Linked DNA regions of Elephas maximus indicus. The protein of the gene in region 2 binds, or shares a complex with, the protein of the main gene of each other region. Links are inferred from orthologs where the notes say so. Each region holds a gene or a part of one and is shown on either strand. Other genes may lie near its edges.

Region 1 (7,716 bases), on a different chromosome or scaffold from region 2:
GGGAGGGAGACCTTGAGACTGCTGGGGGCTGGGAGGGGATGTGTGGGGTGATCATTCATACTTGCTGGAGAGCGAGGTTTCTCCCCAGCAACTGGCCCAGGGCCAGACAGCAAGTGGTCCATGGCTTGGGGCGGGGGAGGGACTGCGGCCGGGGCCGAGTCCCACTCTGGAAGCTGTGACCTTCCTCTCCCTCCTTCCCCTTGGAGGCCTGGGGAGGGGAGCTCAGCTCTAGCCAGGCTTCCTCCCTCATAACTCCCCCAAGCCCTCTTCTCGCCTGCCTAGGGATACCCCCAAAGGAGCGGGAGGAGCCAGAAGCCAGTCCCTGAGCCGCCCCTGCCCCCAGGCCTCAAGTGGAGGGGGAGGAGGAGAGAGGGCTGGGCCGAGGGAGGTGCTGGGACAGCTGCTGCCCCCTCCAGCCCCTCCTTCGGCTGTTGGCTCAAGGAGAAGGAATAGCAACTGGGGAACAGCTGCGGGACAGAGTTGCCTCATAGGCCTCTTTGTTCCGAGGGGCTGAGGGGGCAGTAGGGGACCTGGGCGGGGTAAGGGGGCACAAAGGGCCAGAGCTCCCCCAACTCAGGCTAAGCACCTCTCCTCGGGTAGCTGTCTCCACTCCCAGCTCCCCCTTGGCCCCAGCTTCTCTTCTCCAAGAAGGGCCCCCCACTCAGGTGCCCAGATGCTCACCTTCAGTCTGAGACCATGCCTGGGGCAGAGGCCCCCAGAACAGCCCCTTCCCCCCAAACATGAGAAGAGGGGAACCAGGGGAAGCAGACTTCCCATGGGTTGTTCCCTCACACCTCGGGCTACCACCCCTGTAGCAGGCCCCTCCCTGCCAGCCTTAGCCCCAGCAGCTGAATTGCTGACAGCTTATCTCATCAGCTCGAGGGAGCCACTTGGCCTACTAAATGGGGACCAGCTCCCCTTCCTCTCAACTGGACGGAGGAGCTTCCCTCCTGCCCCTAGACCAGCCTTCACTTCTCCCCCTTCAGCTCAGAGCCAAGGGGCCAGGGGCCAGGCACCGCTCTGGGGGAGGGAGAGGTGCAGTCCGGAAGGATGAGGCCTGGAGAGGGACCAGTGGGGAGGGAGGTGGAGAGGCTTCCTAGCCTGTCTGTCCCGGGAGACCCCACCTGGGATAGTCAGTCCTGCCTCTCAAATTTCAGCATGCAGGGGTGACAGGGGCTGGCCAGGCTCTGACTCTCCCTCCACACTCGGTCATGTAGTCTGCAGCCCCCCACACCCCCTCACTACACACCAGAGCCCCCTCCCCCATGCCTGCCCTCAGGCTTGTCCTTCTGGAAAGCTCAGAGACATCTGCTGTGTCACGGAGGCAGGGCTATTTCCAGGCTGGAGCAGGCGGTGGGGTGAGGGCTGGGGGGGGGGGGCCAGTATTTGGGCAGGAGGGGTAAGGCCAAGGGAGGGGACTGGACAGGGCAAAGGGCCCCAAACTGACCTCAGCTGCTAATTCAGGAGGACCAGAGATGGCCCTGAGGGACAGTGGGGGTGGACAGACAGTCCATTATCTGGGGGTGTCTCTGAGGCAGTCGTGGGGGGTTCTAGGCTACCTGGCCGGCCCATTGGGAAGCCCACATGGAGCCCCATATGGGGCCCCTTCATGTAATTCACAGCAGAACTCTTAAGAGTTTACCCCGGGAGTGAGGGTCTTTCCCGGGACCCTGGCCTACTCAAATGACTGTAGGGCTGGGAGGACAGGGGGCGCTACTTGCCACTCAAAACCCACCCTAGACTTCTCTGCTGCCAAGCTTAGAGTACCTCCCCACCCCCATCCCGTCCCAACACACCTTCCAAATCTGGTTACACTCAAGGACTCCCTCCTTTTACAGGCCTCCCCTCCCTCCCCGGGCCAGACCGTTAGCTGCAGCCAATCCCCAGCTTCGGGATGGGCTGGGGCCGGCCAAGGCTGGAGCCGGCTCCCTGGGCCAGGGCAGGAGGAGGCCAGGCAGGGGTTAAAGCTCCCGGCGCTGTTCAGTGCTCAGTGCCTTTTTAGGTGTTTGAGGCAGGGCCCTGCCTGCCCTGGCCCCGGGCCTGAGACCTGAGCTGAGCACAAGCCCGAAGTGGGCCTGGACGACATCCTGCCGCCCACCAGCTCCCCCTCGCCTCAGAGCCCGTGGATCTGGGCACTGATGGGGACCCGTCTGCAGTCCCCGCCTTCCCGTGGAGGTGCTGGGAGGCCACCTGCTTTGTTTGCCGGGGAAGGGGGGGGGGTCCCAGTCGCCCAAAGGAAGGAAAGGGATAATGAATAGAGGCAGGTCGGTGGGAGTGTATGGTGCTGGAGGGCTGGGAACGCCGCGGGTGCCCAGGGTCCTGAGAGTCCTGAACGCAGCGGCCTGAGCGGGAGGGTGAGGGAGACGGGGCAGAGGCATTTCCCTGCCAGCCGCCCTGCCCCAGGTCTCTGCTCCCCGCGCCCACCAGCTCCTGTGCCCCCTGCCCGGGGGACAGCTCCGCGCCACACACACACCTCCCCGCCGTGTCCCCCCGCCGTGCCCTCGCCGCCCGCACTGACCGATGGACACGAGCTTGATGTGCTCGCGCTCCAGGAACTCGAGGGCCACGGACACGTTCTCCAGCTTCATCTGGCGGAAGTTGGGGCGCGGGTGGAACTTGCGGTACATGCGCTTCTGGCTGAGCACCTCGAGCAGCGCGATGAGCCGCAGCCCGTCGCTGAGGTCGCGCTGCAGGTCGGTGAGGCGCTTGCCCACGCACTTGAGATGCTCGTTGCACCAGCGCGTGAACGTGTTCTGCTGGATCTTCTTCCACGGCGCGTCCTCCGCCAGGTCCTTCTCGGTGGACGGCATCTCGTCCGCCTCGTCGGCCAGGCCGAGGCCCGCGGGCTCCGAGTAGCCGCTGTTGTTCATCATGCTGGCGGCCGGGCGGGCAGGGGCTGCGGCCGGTTCGGGTGGGTCGGGCCGGGTTCGGGTGGGCCGGCGGGCTGGGGGCGCGACCGCGGGCTGGGCTGCGCGCTCTGCAACTTCTCTGGGCGGGCGGCTCGCGGGCCTCCTCGCTCGGGTCTCTCTCTCCCTCCGAGGGCGGAGCGGTGCTCGGGAAGTGCGGCGGGCCGGGCCCGGGGGTTTAAGAAGCCCGCGGCCCCCGAGCCACGTCAGAGCGCCGGCCTCCCAGGAATGCCGCCCGGCCGCGGGGGGCGGCCCCGCCTCCTCCCCTCCCCCACGGCGTCTCCCCGTCCCCTCCCCGCCCGGGGCTGCGGGCCAGGGGCCGAGAGCGCCGGCAAGGCTGCACCCCGACACCCCAAACTAAGCACCGTCCGAAATGAACTATGCTCCCGTCACACCCCGCCAGGGCTAAAGAGAGAAATGGGGAAACTGAGGCCAGTGGTTAAGGTGACACACGTAGAGAATTTTGACAGTTTTCTGGACGGGTTGGAGGCAGGGCCGTTGACAGGCGCTGGGAGGCCTGGCTCCTAGCCCAGGGTATTGTCCACCTGTGGGCTGAGAAGGGAAGTGTGTGTGCTTGTGTGGAGATGGACTGAGAGGAAGCTGGGACAGGCCAATTAGAAGACTTGGGGGGCCGGGTACCTGACCTCACTGCTCCACTTTACAGGTGGAAAGGCCTCATTTGGGGCCCAAACCCAGGGTCTCAGGGGAAGACTGAGGCTGCTGCCCCTGACTCAGTGAGCCTGTCACCAGCCCATTTAGCCTCATCCTCTCAGAATGAAGCTGAGCTCAGGAAAAAGGTACCAAGTGAGTCACAATGTGCCCCCCCCATCTGACTCAACCAGTGTGAGGAGAGGGGAGGGACAGACTGTGCCCCCTTAGTGCCAGGGAGCCCCCTGGGCAATGTGCCCACTTTGGCCACTGGGCAGATCCTCCCAGAGAGGGGGTGGGTTAGCCAGACACAAACAAGGAGAGCCCTGCCCAGAGCAGCCTAGAGGGAACAGTGACTAGGGCTGGTCGGCCCAGAGAACCCCAGGGAGCCAACCAGGGTGAGCCAAGGGCAGATAGAGGCCTGGGGAGTGGCGATGGCAGGGAAACTGAGGCACATGAACAGACGAGCTGGCCTGGAATGAGAAGAAAGAGCTATAGAACATATTTACATGAAGAAAAGTTATATCCTGCAATTCTGTAGCATACATGTATTCCGTGTCTCCTGGCCTCCCTTTTAGGTCATCTTTCCTATCCTTCCAGACCCAGTAAGTTTTGAGTGGCGTATCAATGAGAGGATGTGCAAGAAGTAGGCAAACTCTCACATCGCCAATAGCAAGCTGAGCTGGGTAGTAGGCCATGTCTGAGCTGGAGCAGTTTCTTCAAGCCAGGTAGCTCCCAATTCAAGGCATGTGATGACAATGGAGAGGATTTTGGAAGGTTCTGGGACCTCATAGGTGAATCTTTCTACCCTTTTCCTCTCCTCCCCCAGGCCTAGCAAAAAGGAAGGGGACTGTGGGCATCTTTGGGGTCTCTATCCCCAAGGGCAGAATGAGGTCAGTCCGGCTTATGGAGCTGAGAAAGAAGTTCAAGGGCTTTACGGGGGACAGTATGTATGATTGAAAGTGTCCGTGAGTGATTTCTTGTCCTCCTCATTTAATGAGATTGCCTCCTCATTTAATGAAAGGGAGAAGTAGAGAAGGGACCAGAAACAGAAAAGGGCCCTGCTGTACATGGCTGGGGGGTGGGGAGCTCTGGGGGCCCTGATAGTGACAGGAGAGGTATAAATAGCTTGGGCCTTGTGGCTCATGTTCTGTCGGCTGCCTGTGACGAGGTACTCAGGAATTCCACTCTCCTGCTGGCTAACCCTCTCCGCGTCTCCAGAACTCTCATTTCCCCCAAGCCACCTTCGTCCCATGGCCAAAACCACCCATCAGGCACCGGTGTTCCACATCTACTTGACAAGCTAAGCTCTCCTGTGGAGAGATGCCCAGCTCCTCAGGGGGCAGAGCTGGGTTTCTCCAGAGAACTGTGTGCATGTGTAAAAGGGGGGACTTCTGACATCCAAACCTGAGGAGCCAGGAGCTCTGAAGGCCTCATGGAGAAACTGAGGTACAGATCTGAGAAAGGCTAGATTCCTCTCTCTGAGCTGTTGGGGAGGAAGAAAGGGGTAAGAAGGGGCTGCCTGAAGCTGACAGCTCCTTTTCAAGCCCTAAGGGCTCATATTCCTGTTGTTTGAATATTCCCTGAGGTCCCCTGTCAACTGGGGGCCTCCGTGGAGATGAGGAAAGTTCAGAGAGAAGCAAGTGAGTAGAGAGAGAATTCCCACATATAATCTCCCATTACTCTCCCCGCTCTGACTCATTATCTTACTCCAGGAGAGACCAGTGTGCCTTCCCAGGGGACTGAGTGGATGGTGGCAGAGGAGGATACAGAGTGCCAAGGGATTGTTCCTGTCACCCACTCTCACTCCACTCCCCCGAAACCTGAGCCTCATTGCTCTCCAGGATAAATCGGGGCCTGACTCAGTCCTTAGCCAGCCAGTCACAGTCAGCCTGACCCAGGCACAGGCTGGTGACTCAGACCTCAATATAGCCCGTGAGCCCAGGCCCCAGGCCCAGCCATGTGGGCCTGAACAGACAGTGCACAATGCTAGTTCTGGGGCCTGCCAAGTGAGGCCACCTCCCTGAGGAGGACCAACGGTGTTGTTCCTCCCCCAGCCAGCAGGGGCACTCAGAGGGACTTACAGGGGGTTTCGTCAGCTAAGAATTTGGGGCTGCGCTGGCTGCCACAGTCCTTTTATAACACCCTGACTCACTACCTGCTGACCTGCCTCAGGAGACCAGGTTGCCCAGGCTTTTCACCTGTCCTGCCTCTCCTATCAAGGGGCATTGCTCGTCAGCCACAACATTGGCCATATTTAACTTGGGCTGAGTAGAATCTGAGTAAGCGGCTCCAATGTGCCATGTTGGAAAATTCTGCTTTTTTGGAACCAGGGGCTGTCCAAGCTCACAGCCAGCACTTTGACCAATCAATGACACTGACTGTGGCCCTGGGCCTGGTACCAGGGACAGTGTGGCAGAGTAGAAGGATCCACAGGCTGAATTCCAGCCTCTCCACTTCTGGCTCTGTAGCCTGGGGCAGGTAGTGTAATGTGTCTGGGACTCAGTTTTCTCATCTATAAAATGGAGTTAATAATGTTCTTATAGGGATTTCTTTTTTTTTTTTAATGTGTGAAGATAAAAGGAGATACCATGTAAAATGATTAGCACAGTGCCTGGCATATAGTAAGTGCTCCAAAACAGTCATTTGCTTCCCCTGCTGGTATCTTGGGGACCAAGTGGGTCCTGGTGAATTCTTCCCTTACAGCTCTGTCTCTACAGCCCCTGTAGAGACCACTGTCGGAATCCCCACACTGCTCACCTCTTCCCTTCCCTAGTGAATCTGTGTACTAACCCTCCACCTGCCAGAGTCAGAGCCAGCAGCACAACTGATCTCTAGAACCGTGCACTGGCCTCAGGAACAGCTGGTCCTTGGCAGGAGTGGCAGGCAGGGTGCTCTTCCATGTGCAATTGAAGGGGGGAGGGGAGCCAGGGAAACAGAGGGGGCTGGTCTTGAGGGAGAGAGAAGAAAGGAAGCATTATGCAGGGACAGCAGAGGTGAGAAACTGGGGCTCCTGAAGGGGTCTGGAGTCCTTGGTTCCAACTGTACCTGTAGGCCTGGCTACATGCCTGCCTGTGGCTTCTAAGAGGCACCCCTGTCGACTTAAAATCAATCCCGCCCCTTTTTTCTTAAACCGGCTCAAGGGAATGTTCCACATTCAACACAATGTGTATCAACAAGACCAGAAGGCATGAAGTTCAAGCCAAGTGAAGAGTATGAGGTTCTAACATGAGCAGAGAGGGGCTTATGCTCACATAAAGGCAAGTGTTCCAAAAAGAAGAGGTCTATTCTAAGGAAAAATATGTAGGGAAAGGCAGGGCCACATTCCTGCCGACACTCTGTGTTATGGATTGGATTGTGTCCCCCTAAACTATGTTTTGGAATCTTAACTCAGATACCTATGGATACAATTCCTTTTGGGAATAGGGTTTTCTTTGTTATGTTAATGAGGCCATATCAGAGTAGAATGTGTCTTAAACCTAATGACTTTTGAGATATAAAAAGAGCAGATTAGACACAGAGAGAAGCTAGCACAAACAGGGGAAAGATAGATGCCACCTGGAGATGGCCAAGGAACCAAAGAGCACTGGGGCTAGAGAAGCTGAGACAAGGATTTTCCTCCAAAGTGGACAGAGAGAGGCCCTTACCCTAGAGCTGGTGCCCTGATTTTGGACTTGTAGCTTCCTAACCCATGAGGAAATAAATTTTTGTCCTTTTAAACCACCCACTTGTGGTATTTCTGTTACAGCAGCACTGGACAACTAAAACAGAATTTGGTATTGGTAAGTGGGAGTACTGCTTCAACAAATACCTAAAATGTGGAAATGGTTTTGCAATTGGGTAATGGACAGAATCTGGAGAAATTCGGAGCCTCATAGGAAGAGCCTAGACTGCCTTGACGAGACTGTTGGTAGAATTATGGACACTACGGGTAATTCTGATGAGGGCTCAGAAGAAATGAGGAATCCTCTAGAGAAAGCTTCAATCACTATGAACAAAATGTTGCTAGAAATGTGGATGTTAAATGTACTTCTGGTGAAACCTTAAAAGGAAATGATGAACAGGTTATTGGACAATGGAGGAAGGATGGTGCTTTTCTTTTTTTAGGGTGATGCTTTTATAAGGTGGCAAGGAACTTGACTGAATTATGTTCAGTGGAAGG
Region 2 (7,652 bases):
CTACCAGCTAACAGCTGGAAAAGCTTGGCTGGAAAAATATGGCCTCTTTCCAAATAGTTGCAGCACAGAACCAGGACTGAGATTGGGTCTGGTGCTCATCTCAAAACCAACAGCCACCATGATTGGTCAGGCCTGGGTCATATATGCATCCCTAGAACCAGGAGGTGCAGCAACCCCAGGCATTGAGAGTTGAGGGGGTAGGGCTCCCCAAACAGAAATTTGGTGCTGTTACCAAAAGCAAGGGAGGGGGTGATGGTGAGCTGGCAGGAACCATGGACGCCCCTTAGATTCTCCAGCGGGACCAAGTTTCTTCCTCACCTTCAGCACTTTGCCCACCTCACTGTAATGTTCCGAAACCTCTATCCTCTATGTGGTGGGAAAAAGGAAGGAGTTCATTTCTGGACACCTACTAAGCACTAGGCATTTTTATCCACATTTATCCCATCAAGTCCTTATAACAAAGCCACAAAGGAGGTACTGCTACCCACAGGTTGCAAGAGGAAGCTGAGGCTCAAAGAGAAGTGACTTGCCCAAGGTAACAGGCCAGCAGAGTGGAACCCCTCACAGACACTGATGTTACTCATATCTGTGACTGTCCCCCACCCCTGCGCCTGTGCGATGACCTCTCACTTCTCTGTACTGCTGCACCCCTGCCAGCCCCTACCATGAGACCTGACACACACTAGGAACTTGGGAAATAGGTGTTCAACTGACCTGACTCCAAGCAGGCAGACTGGAGGATGAACGAAGGACGGGGGGGAGCCCCTGGGAGGGGAGGCCCGGGGTCTTCGGAGGCTGTTTGCCAAGGGTGGACACCCCACTCTGCAGTGTAACCTCATGCAGCTGCGCAGCCGGCACCCCCAGGCTGGCGCAGGGTAGCTCTGCTCTGACCTGGCCAGAGGGGAGCCTGCCAAGGGGAGGGGCAGCTAGGCAGATGCTTCCCTCCAGGTCCCTCACGGGGGCTGCAGCTCAGGGAGCCTGGGAGAAAAATTGCATGACCACAGGCTAGCGGACACCTTCACCCGGATCTCCCCAGGCTAGTCTTGATTCTTGGAGAGGAGAGTGCGGACTGTGTGAGCAGAGAGCTCTGGAAACCAGGAGAGAGTGATGCGAGAATAACAACTGCTTCAATTTGTGGGCACTAACTATTTTTTAACTATAGGCCAGGCCCCTTCAGTGCCTTTGTCCCTAACAGTCCTGCAGATGGAATCTTCATGTCCCCATTCGAGGGCATCCAGTCCAGCTCCCCTACTTTACAGGTGAAGAAACAGAGCCTTGGAGGGGGAGTCTTGTCCAAGGTCACACAGACAGCACCAGAGAGCTGGGCATTAAGCCTAAGTCTGACCCCAAAGCCCAGATTTTCCCCATTGCTCCTTCTCCCTGGAACGTTTGCCTCTGTTCTTCTCATCCACCCCCGTCTGTCAGTTTATTGTATTGTCGTGGTGCCTTGCATGTTGCTGTGATGCCAAAAGCTATGCTACCAGTATTTCGAATCCCAGGAGGGTCATCCATGGAGGACAGATTTTAGTGGCACTTCCAGTCTAAGAAAGAGTAGGAAGAAAGGCCTGGCAATGAGCCTATGAATTACAACAGAATATTGCCTGAAAAAAAAAAAAATTTTTTTTTATAGCACTGGAATAAGGTTAGAAGGAACTCAAAATACACGGTGGCTATAACAGCGGACTCGAGCAATCATGAGGGTGGCACAGGACTGGGCAATATTTTGTTCTGTTGTACATAGGGTTGCCATGAGTCGAAGCCAACTTGATGGCAACTAACAACATTCCTCTCATGCCTGGCTCTTCCTCATCTCAGCTTAAACGTCATCTCCTCAGAGAGGCCTTCCCTGAGCAGCCCCTCACCCCTTATTCTGTCTCAGCCTCTTCTGTTCCTTCATAGCACGTTTTACTCTTGGTAGTTAGTGGTATTAACTTGCTTTGCATGTCCGTCTCCTCCACCCCCTGCAAGTATGGTGAGGACAGGACTTGACCCCCACTGGCTCCTCAACTTGTGTCCAGCACATAATAGGTACCTGACCAATGTTTGTTGAGTCAGCACCAACCACCCTCTGTGGGCAAGCGGTGCCCTCCTCCCCAGCAGTCTTGGGGAGAAAAAAATCCCACTGCCCTCGATCTTGTCCCCAAACCTCTCCCCTACCCCGTTCCTGCCACCTGGGGTCTCACCTGCCACAACCCTAATAGAGGACTGGCCCCCCTGGCCCACCAGGCCATCTGAGGGAGAAGAAAGCTGGTCTGAGCCTGGCAGGGAGGGAGGCAGGGAGCAGGACTCTGAGCTGGCAGACAAAGGGCGTGTGTTCTCGCCCAGCCCACTTCCTGGGTTTCCATTGCAGGAACCTTGGCACCTGCCGATCAGTGACACCAACACCCAACACCCGAGCTGGTACAGGAGACCCTTGGCAGGACGCTCCTCTCCACCCAGGAGCAGCAGGGGAGGTGGGATAGGCAGCCGGGGGCAGGACGGCAGGAGAGTGGTGGCGTCTGGGCCCCTGCAGCACCCTGAGACCCTCTCAAGCCAAGCTCAGTCTGGATGTTGGGAGGCCTGCATTCTAGACTGTGTGACCTTGGATAAGGCCCCCAGAAAACCAACCTTTCTGTGCCTCCGTGTCCCCACCTGGGGTGCAGTGAGGTAGCTCAGGGGATACTGTCGGGGTGAAAGATGGCAGCTCCATTTTTATCTGTTTGAAATAAGTTTTCTGGGTCAAATCACTGGAAAAGGGGGTTCTATGGCCAAAAGTGTCTGAAAACCCCTGGATGGTGCCCTTCCCCCTGAAGGCCTTTTCAGCTCTGGCACTGAGTGGCTCCCTCCTTTTTCCTGTGGAGGGCATACGAAGCTCACTCCAAAGAGTGCTGCTAAGTGGGCGCACAGTTGCCACTCTAAGGGACTGAGCCCAAGCAGCCTGAAGTCCGTGTCTCACTCTGCGGGTAGAACTCTAGTCCCGTCTCCAAACCTCTGTAAAGGGTGGCAGTCCTGCCCAGCCCTAGGGCTAGCACAGCAGTGATACCCACTGGTCTGAGGTTGAATCCTGCTCCGCCACTAGCCCTTCGTGTGGCCTTGAGTCTCTCAGGGCCTCAGTGTCCTCATTTGTGACTCAGGACTGATCAGTTCTCCCGCACAAGGCTCTCATGGGGATTCAGTGTAAAAGAGGCACTGTAGGTGACCCACCAGCACAGAAGAAGCCCTATACATGACAGCTACTATTACTGCTGTTTGGAAACCCTGGGTGGCCTAAACAGTTAAGCCCTTAACTACCAGTCCAAAGGCTGGCAGTTTGAACCCACTCAGAGGCGCCTCAGGAGACATGCCCCACAATTTGCTTCCGAAAGGTCACACAGCCTTGAAAACTCTATGTAGCAGTTCTACTCTGAACACAAGGGGTCGCCATGAGTAGAAATCGAGTCTGTGGCAAGTAGCAACAATTACTGCTGTTGTTATTGGGCAGCGGCTGTGAAGATCAAATGAAAAAAGGGGATGAGAAGGGGAACAACGGAGGGGGTCACAAGCAGTGGGTGAGGGATCTAGGAAGGTAAAGGAAGAGAGCATGGGATAGGGTGTCTAGGTACCCGTCTTAGCCCCCAGGAGTGAGTCCCTCAGAGCAGCCCCAGAGCTATCCTGGGGGTGCTGACTGTCCCTGCAGAGCCCGCAGGGGAAAGCCAGCCCTGCCTGGCCTCCCCACAGATGGCTTCAGCCACTGTGGCTTTAATCAAAGGAACAATCTGCCTCTGAATCAGACCCAGATTCCTTTTCCCAGCAATGTTCCTGAGGCCTCTGGGGACCCAGGCGGCCCATCCCAGCTCCATCTCTGGCCCCTCCCCTCTCCATGTCTTATCTACTCCAGCCTGGAGGGGGACAAATTCAGGGGGCAGGAGGGAGGACATCAGTGACAGGCCCAGGCGTGGCAAACCAGGTGACCTGATTGCCAGCTGAGCCCTGTCTCCCAGGCCCGCGGCGCTGGGTGAGGCGTCCCTCCTGGAGAGGCCTGTCCCTCAGGCCACTGGGGCCCACATGTAAAAGGCTTAAGGGGCACAGGACAGCAAACCAAGGTGACTTGCTCCACTGGGGATCTCAGAGACCCCCCCGCAGCCCCCCCCAACACCCCTGAAAAAGCCCAAAGCCCAACATACATCACTCCTTGCTGTCTATATCACCTTTTACCCTCAGGCCTACCTGGAGAGGCAGGCTGTTATCTCCATTTTACAGATGAGGAAACTGAGGCTCAGGGAGGTAGAGTGACTGCCAGCGTCACACCGTTAGTGGGAAGCCATACAACCCAGATCCTCCTGACCCTCCTGACCCTGGGAAACCCCAGCCCAAACCAGGGATATAAGCACCCACCTCCATCTGACAGAACAGGTCGGGCCGCGATCCAGGTGACCTGGGGGAGGGGAGAGTGGAGTAACAACCCCTCAGGGTCCACAAAGGACTTGGGGGGTTGGCCACAGGGAAGGTCTCCTGCCCCCCAGGCCTGGGCCGAGGGGGAAGGGAGGAGTGGTGGAGGGAACAAAGGGAGGGGGAGGGGGGAGGGGGAGGGGGCGGTGCGGGCGCGGCCGGGCAGGTGGGGGCCGCTTCCGCCCGGCGGGGATCCCAGACCCCCTCCCCACAGCGTCACCTTTTATGGTAAGGCGGCGGCGCGGGGCGGGGGGCGGAGGGAGCGAGGGGCGGGGAGGCGGCGGGGCGGGAGTGCGGCGGCTGGTTTCGCCGGCTGGGGCGTCGGAGCAGAGCCCCGGGCGCGGCGGCCCAGGTAAGCGGGTGGGGGGGGGATCCGTCCTCCGTCCCGTCCCTGCCCCGCCACACACAGGTGACAGCGCGGGCAGCCCTTGGCAGGAGCCCACCTCCCCTCCAGCCGGGACCCCAGCCCCGGCGCTCCAGGAGGGGGCCTTCCGTCTCTGCCCTTCGGTCTCTGTCCCCGGAGTGGGGGAGGGGGGCGCAGGTTTGGGGGAGGGCTCACGGCGGGGAGGGTCGTGTCCCTGCCCAGGAGCCGGCGCCAGGAAAGGGGCGCGCAGGGCGGAAGCTCCCGCACAAAGAGCCAGCGTCCCGCACATGGATCGAATTAAAGTCCCTGGCCGGCGCCCCACAGCGACCCGGCCAGCCGCCCTGCCCCGCCGCCTGCGGGAGGCCGCCGGGCTTTCTGGAGCTCCAAGGACTCCGGGCCCCTCTTCCCAGCTGGGGTCAGGCGAAGGGGGGAAGGGGCCCAGGGCAGCCCCTCTCGGGCCTCGGATCCCCGTCGGGGGCTGGGGAGACGAGGGATTGGGCGGCCCCTAAGGTGTGTCCCCTTGGGGTGATCTTCACTTCGATCCTCCCGCATCCCAAATCTGAGGACCCCAGGAAGAGGCTGGGGCAGCGGCTACATTCCTGCTCTTAATAATGGTGGAAACCAGGTCCCAGTTCTCTGGGACCTCCAGCAGAGCCCAGAAACCCTCCACCCCGCCCCAGGCCCTTGAGGTCTGAATAACCAGCTGTCCTCCTTCGCACCTACCAAGCACCAATATCTCGATCACTCACTCCATTTATCCTCTTAGCCACTATTCAAGACAGACCCCTTTATTCTCATTTTATGAAAAAAAAAACAAGGACCAGAGAGGGCCAGTGACCTGCTCAGGGTCACCGAGCAAGAAAGAGGTGGGCACAGTGTGAACCCAGCTCTGAGTGCTTCTCTGGGGTGGGAGAGAGGGAACAGGAACCCCTAACCAGGGCTATAGGCTCCAAATGGGGGGGGGCACAGTCCCACCCCCACCCCCAGCAAAGTTTAATTCAGGACCCAAACACAGGCTACTTTGTGAGGGTGCTAAAGAACAAAGCTTAGAGGTGGTTCTGGGCGCTGGGAGGAAGGCGGACAGCAGAGGGAGGGGGCTCTGCCTGAAGCGCCCCCCTACCAGCCAGTCTGTCCTCGGCCCCGGGGCTGTAGGCTGGGTGGCTGGCTGGATCACAGCCTCCTTCCTTCCTCTTAACAGGAAATGACTCTCCCTCCCTTTGTTCCCACTTTCTTTGCTTACCCAACTGGGTCTTAGATTCACCTTCAGGGAGAGGAAGGTTAGGGATGGAGGATCCCCTGGGCCCTGCTGGCTGGGAGGCTGCCCCACAGGGAACTTACTCCCTCTAGGGTGATCAGGGAGGCAGTGGGCCAAAAGGAAGCTGGGCCTCCCATCCCCTCCTGGGGCCTTACAGGGCTTTGAAAAGCCCCACCCAGCTCAGGCCCTTCCCTTGGGGCCTGGAGTCCCAGCAGTAACCACTAGAAGGGAGGGGGCAGGGGGCTGCCCAGCTGTGCACATCTGGCTCCAGGACTGGAACATTTACCCCCGGAGTCTTCCAAGAAAGCAGGCGACTCAACTTCCCAGAGCGGGTGGGCTGGGGGATAGGGGTCAGAGCAGGGCGAGAAGGACGTGAAAGGGCATCCTGAAGGTCCCCAGCAGTCTCTGGAGACAGCCCAGAATGTGCTCACCACAGGATTTTTGCTCTGGTTTGGATCATTCTGGGGCGAGAACAGGCTGAGAATTTGGGGGCCCTAGCGACGCAGACGGCAGTGGGTTAGTGACATTCAGGGAAGAAAAAGCATGTCTGAGGAAGACGTAGTGTGTCTCCGCGGTCATTCCCTGGACCCTGTGGTCGGATGGTGCTCTGTTAGAATTCCGGGTCTGCCATCGATGGCTGGGACCAATGACTTAATGTCTTGGGGCTTACACTGTAAAATAGCTGTGTTGGGAATTAGGTGAGCTTTGAGGCATGTAAAGCACTCAGCACAGTGCCTGGCACACAGCAAGTATTCTTATCAGTGAGTGCCATTGTTGTTTTTATTATTGTAATCTTGTAGTCACCAAAGAGAGCCCACGAGGGCTGGTGAACTTTGAAAGAGGCCCATGACTGGCAGTTGGACTCCAGGTCCACCATTAGGGTCCTTTGGGGCCATGTCAGGGTGGCATAGCCCGAAAGGGGGAGGTAGAAAAAGGGCATAGTGTTATCCCAGGGCACAAGCCTTGGGTGCCTGGGGAAGCTCCTAAGCTGGTGTGACTGACTCACCCCATCCCAAGGCTCGGCCTTGGTCGCACACTACTGTCTGCAGAAACCACCTGAGAGATGGCAAATGGCCTTCCCCTGACCCTCACTGTGAGCCACCCTGCCCCCACATCTATGATTTGGTGCCTGCATTGTGAGCTGGACTCTGCAGACACAGCTGAAGGCACACACTGTCAGGGGGAGAGGGCAGACACGTGGAGAGTGAGCCAGCATGTCGTGTGACAGGGCTGTCATCACCCTGTGGAGGCAGACAACTGACCTCCCTGGGGAGGTCAGGGATCAGGGGAGCCTTCATGGAGGAGGTGATAAGCTCCTGGGCCTCTAAGGATTAGCCGAAAATTCACCCTGTGGGAGTGGGAAAGGGAAAACAGGTGGCAGAAACACTCAAAGGTAAGTAAGGGAGAAAGGCACCATCGAGGAAGAGTGAGTGGTCTAGGGTGGTCAAAAAGAGGCTGAGGCCAGAGGAATTCGGGCTTTATTCTGATGGTAGTAGGGAGCAATGGAAGGCTTTTGGGTAGAGGTGAAACAGACAGATTTATGCTCTAGAAAGATCACACCAGAGGGAAGTAAGGAGGTGGAATTCAAGACCTTCCAGGGGGCCACTGTGCCTGAACCAGGGCCCT

Evidence for each region. The genes of interacting proteins can lie anywhere in the genome.
Region 1: the proteins of FBLIM1 (region 2) and FLNC are in contact, whole or in part, in an NMR structure (PDB 2K9U), measured with the Homo sapiens proteins. The link is inferred for Elephas maximus indicus from reciprocal best matches to the Homo sapiens genes FBLIM1 and FLNC. Residues at the interface, in NP_001337080.1 of Homo sapiens: Arg8, Val9, Ala10, Ser11, Ser12, Val13, Phe14, Ile15, Thr16, Leu17, Pro19; in NP_001449.3 of Homo sapiens: Thr2339, Ala2344, Gly2345, Gly2346, Leu2347, Ser2348, Ile2349, Ala2350, Val2351, Glu2352, Gly2353, Pro2354, Ser2355, Lys2356, Ile2359, Phe2361, Asp2380, Glu2382, Phe2387.

The regions. Positions count from the first base shown.
Region 1 is NC_064826.1:21,238,015-21,245,730, forward strand, and holds the start of FLNC (filamin-C), read right to left. Parts: upstream 3,068-7,716; 5' UTR 2,874-3,067; coding exon 2,519-2,873; intron 1-2,518.
Region 2 is NC_064821.1:55,496,001-55,503,652, forward strand, and holds the start of FBLIM1 (filamin-binding LIM protein 1), read left to right. Parts: upstream 1-4,566; 5' UTR 4,567-4,635; intron 4,636-4,683; exon of another isoform or gene 4,684-4,759; intron 4,760-7,652. UniProt on the Homo sapiens protein: Serves as an anchoring site for cell-ECM adhesion proteins and filamin-containing actin filaments. Is implicated in cell shape modulation (spreading) and motility.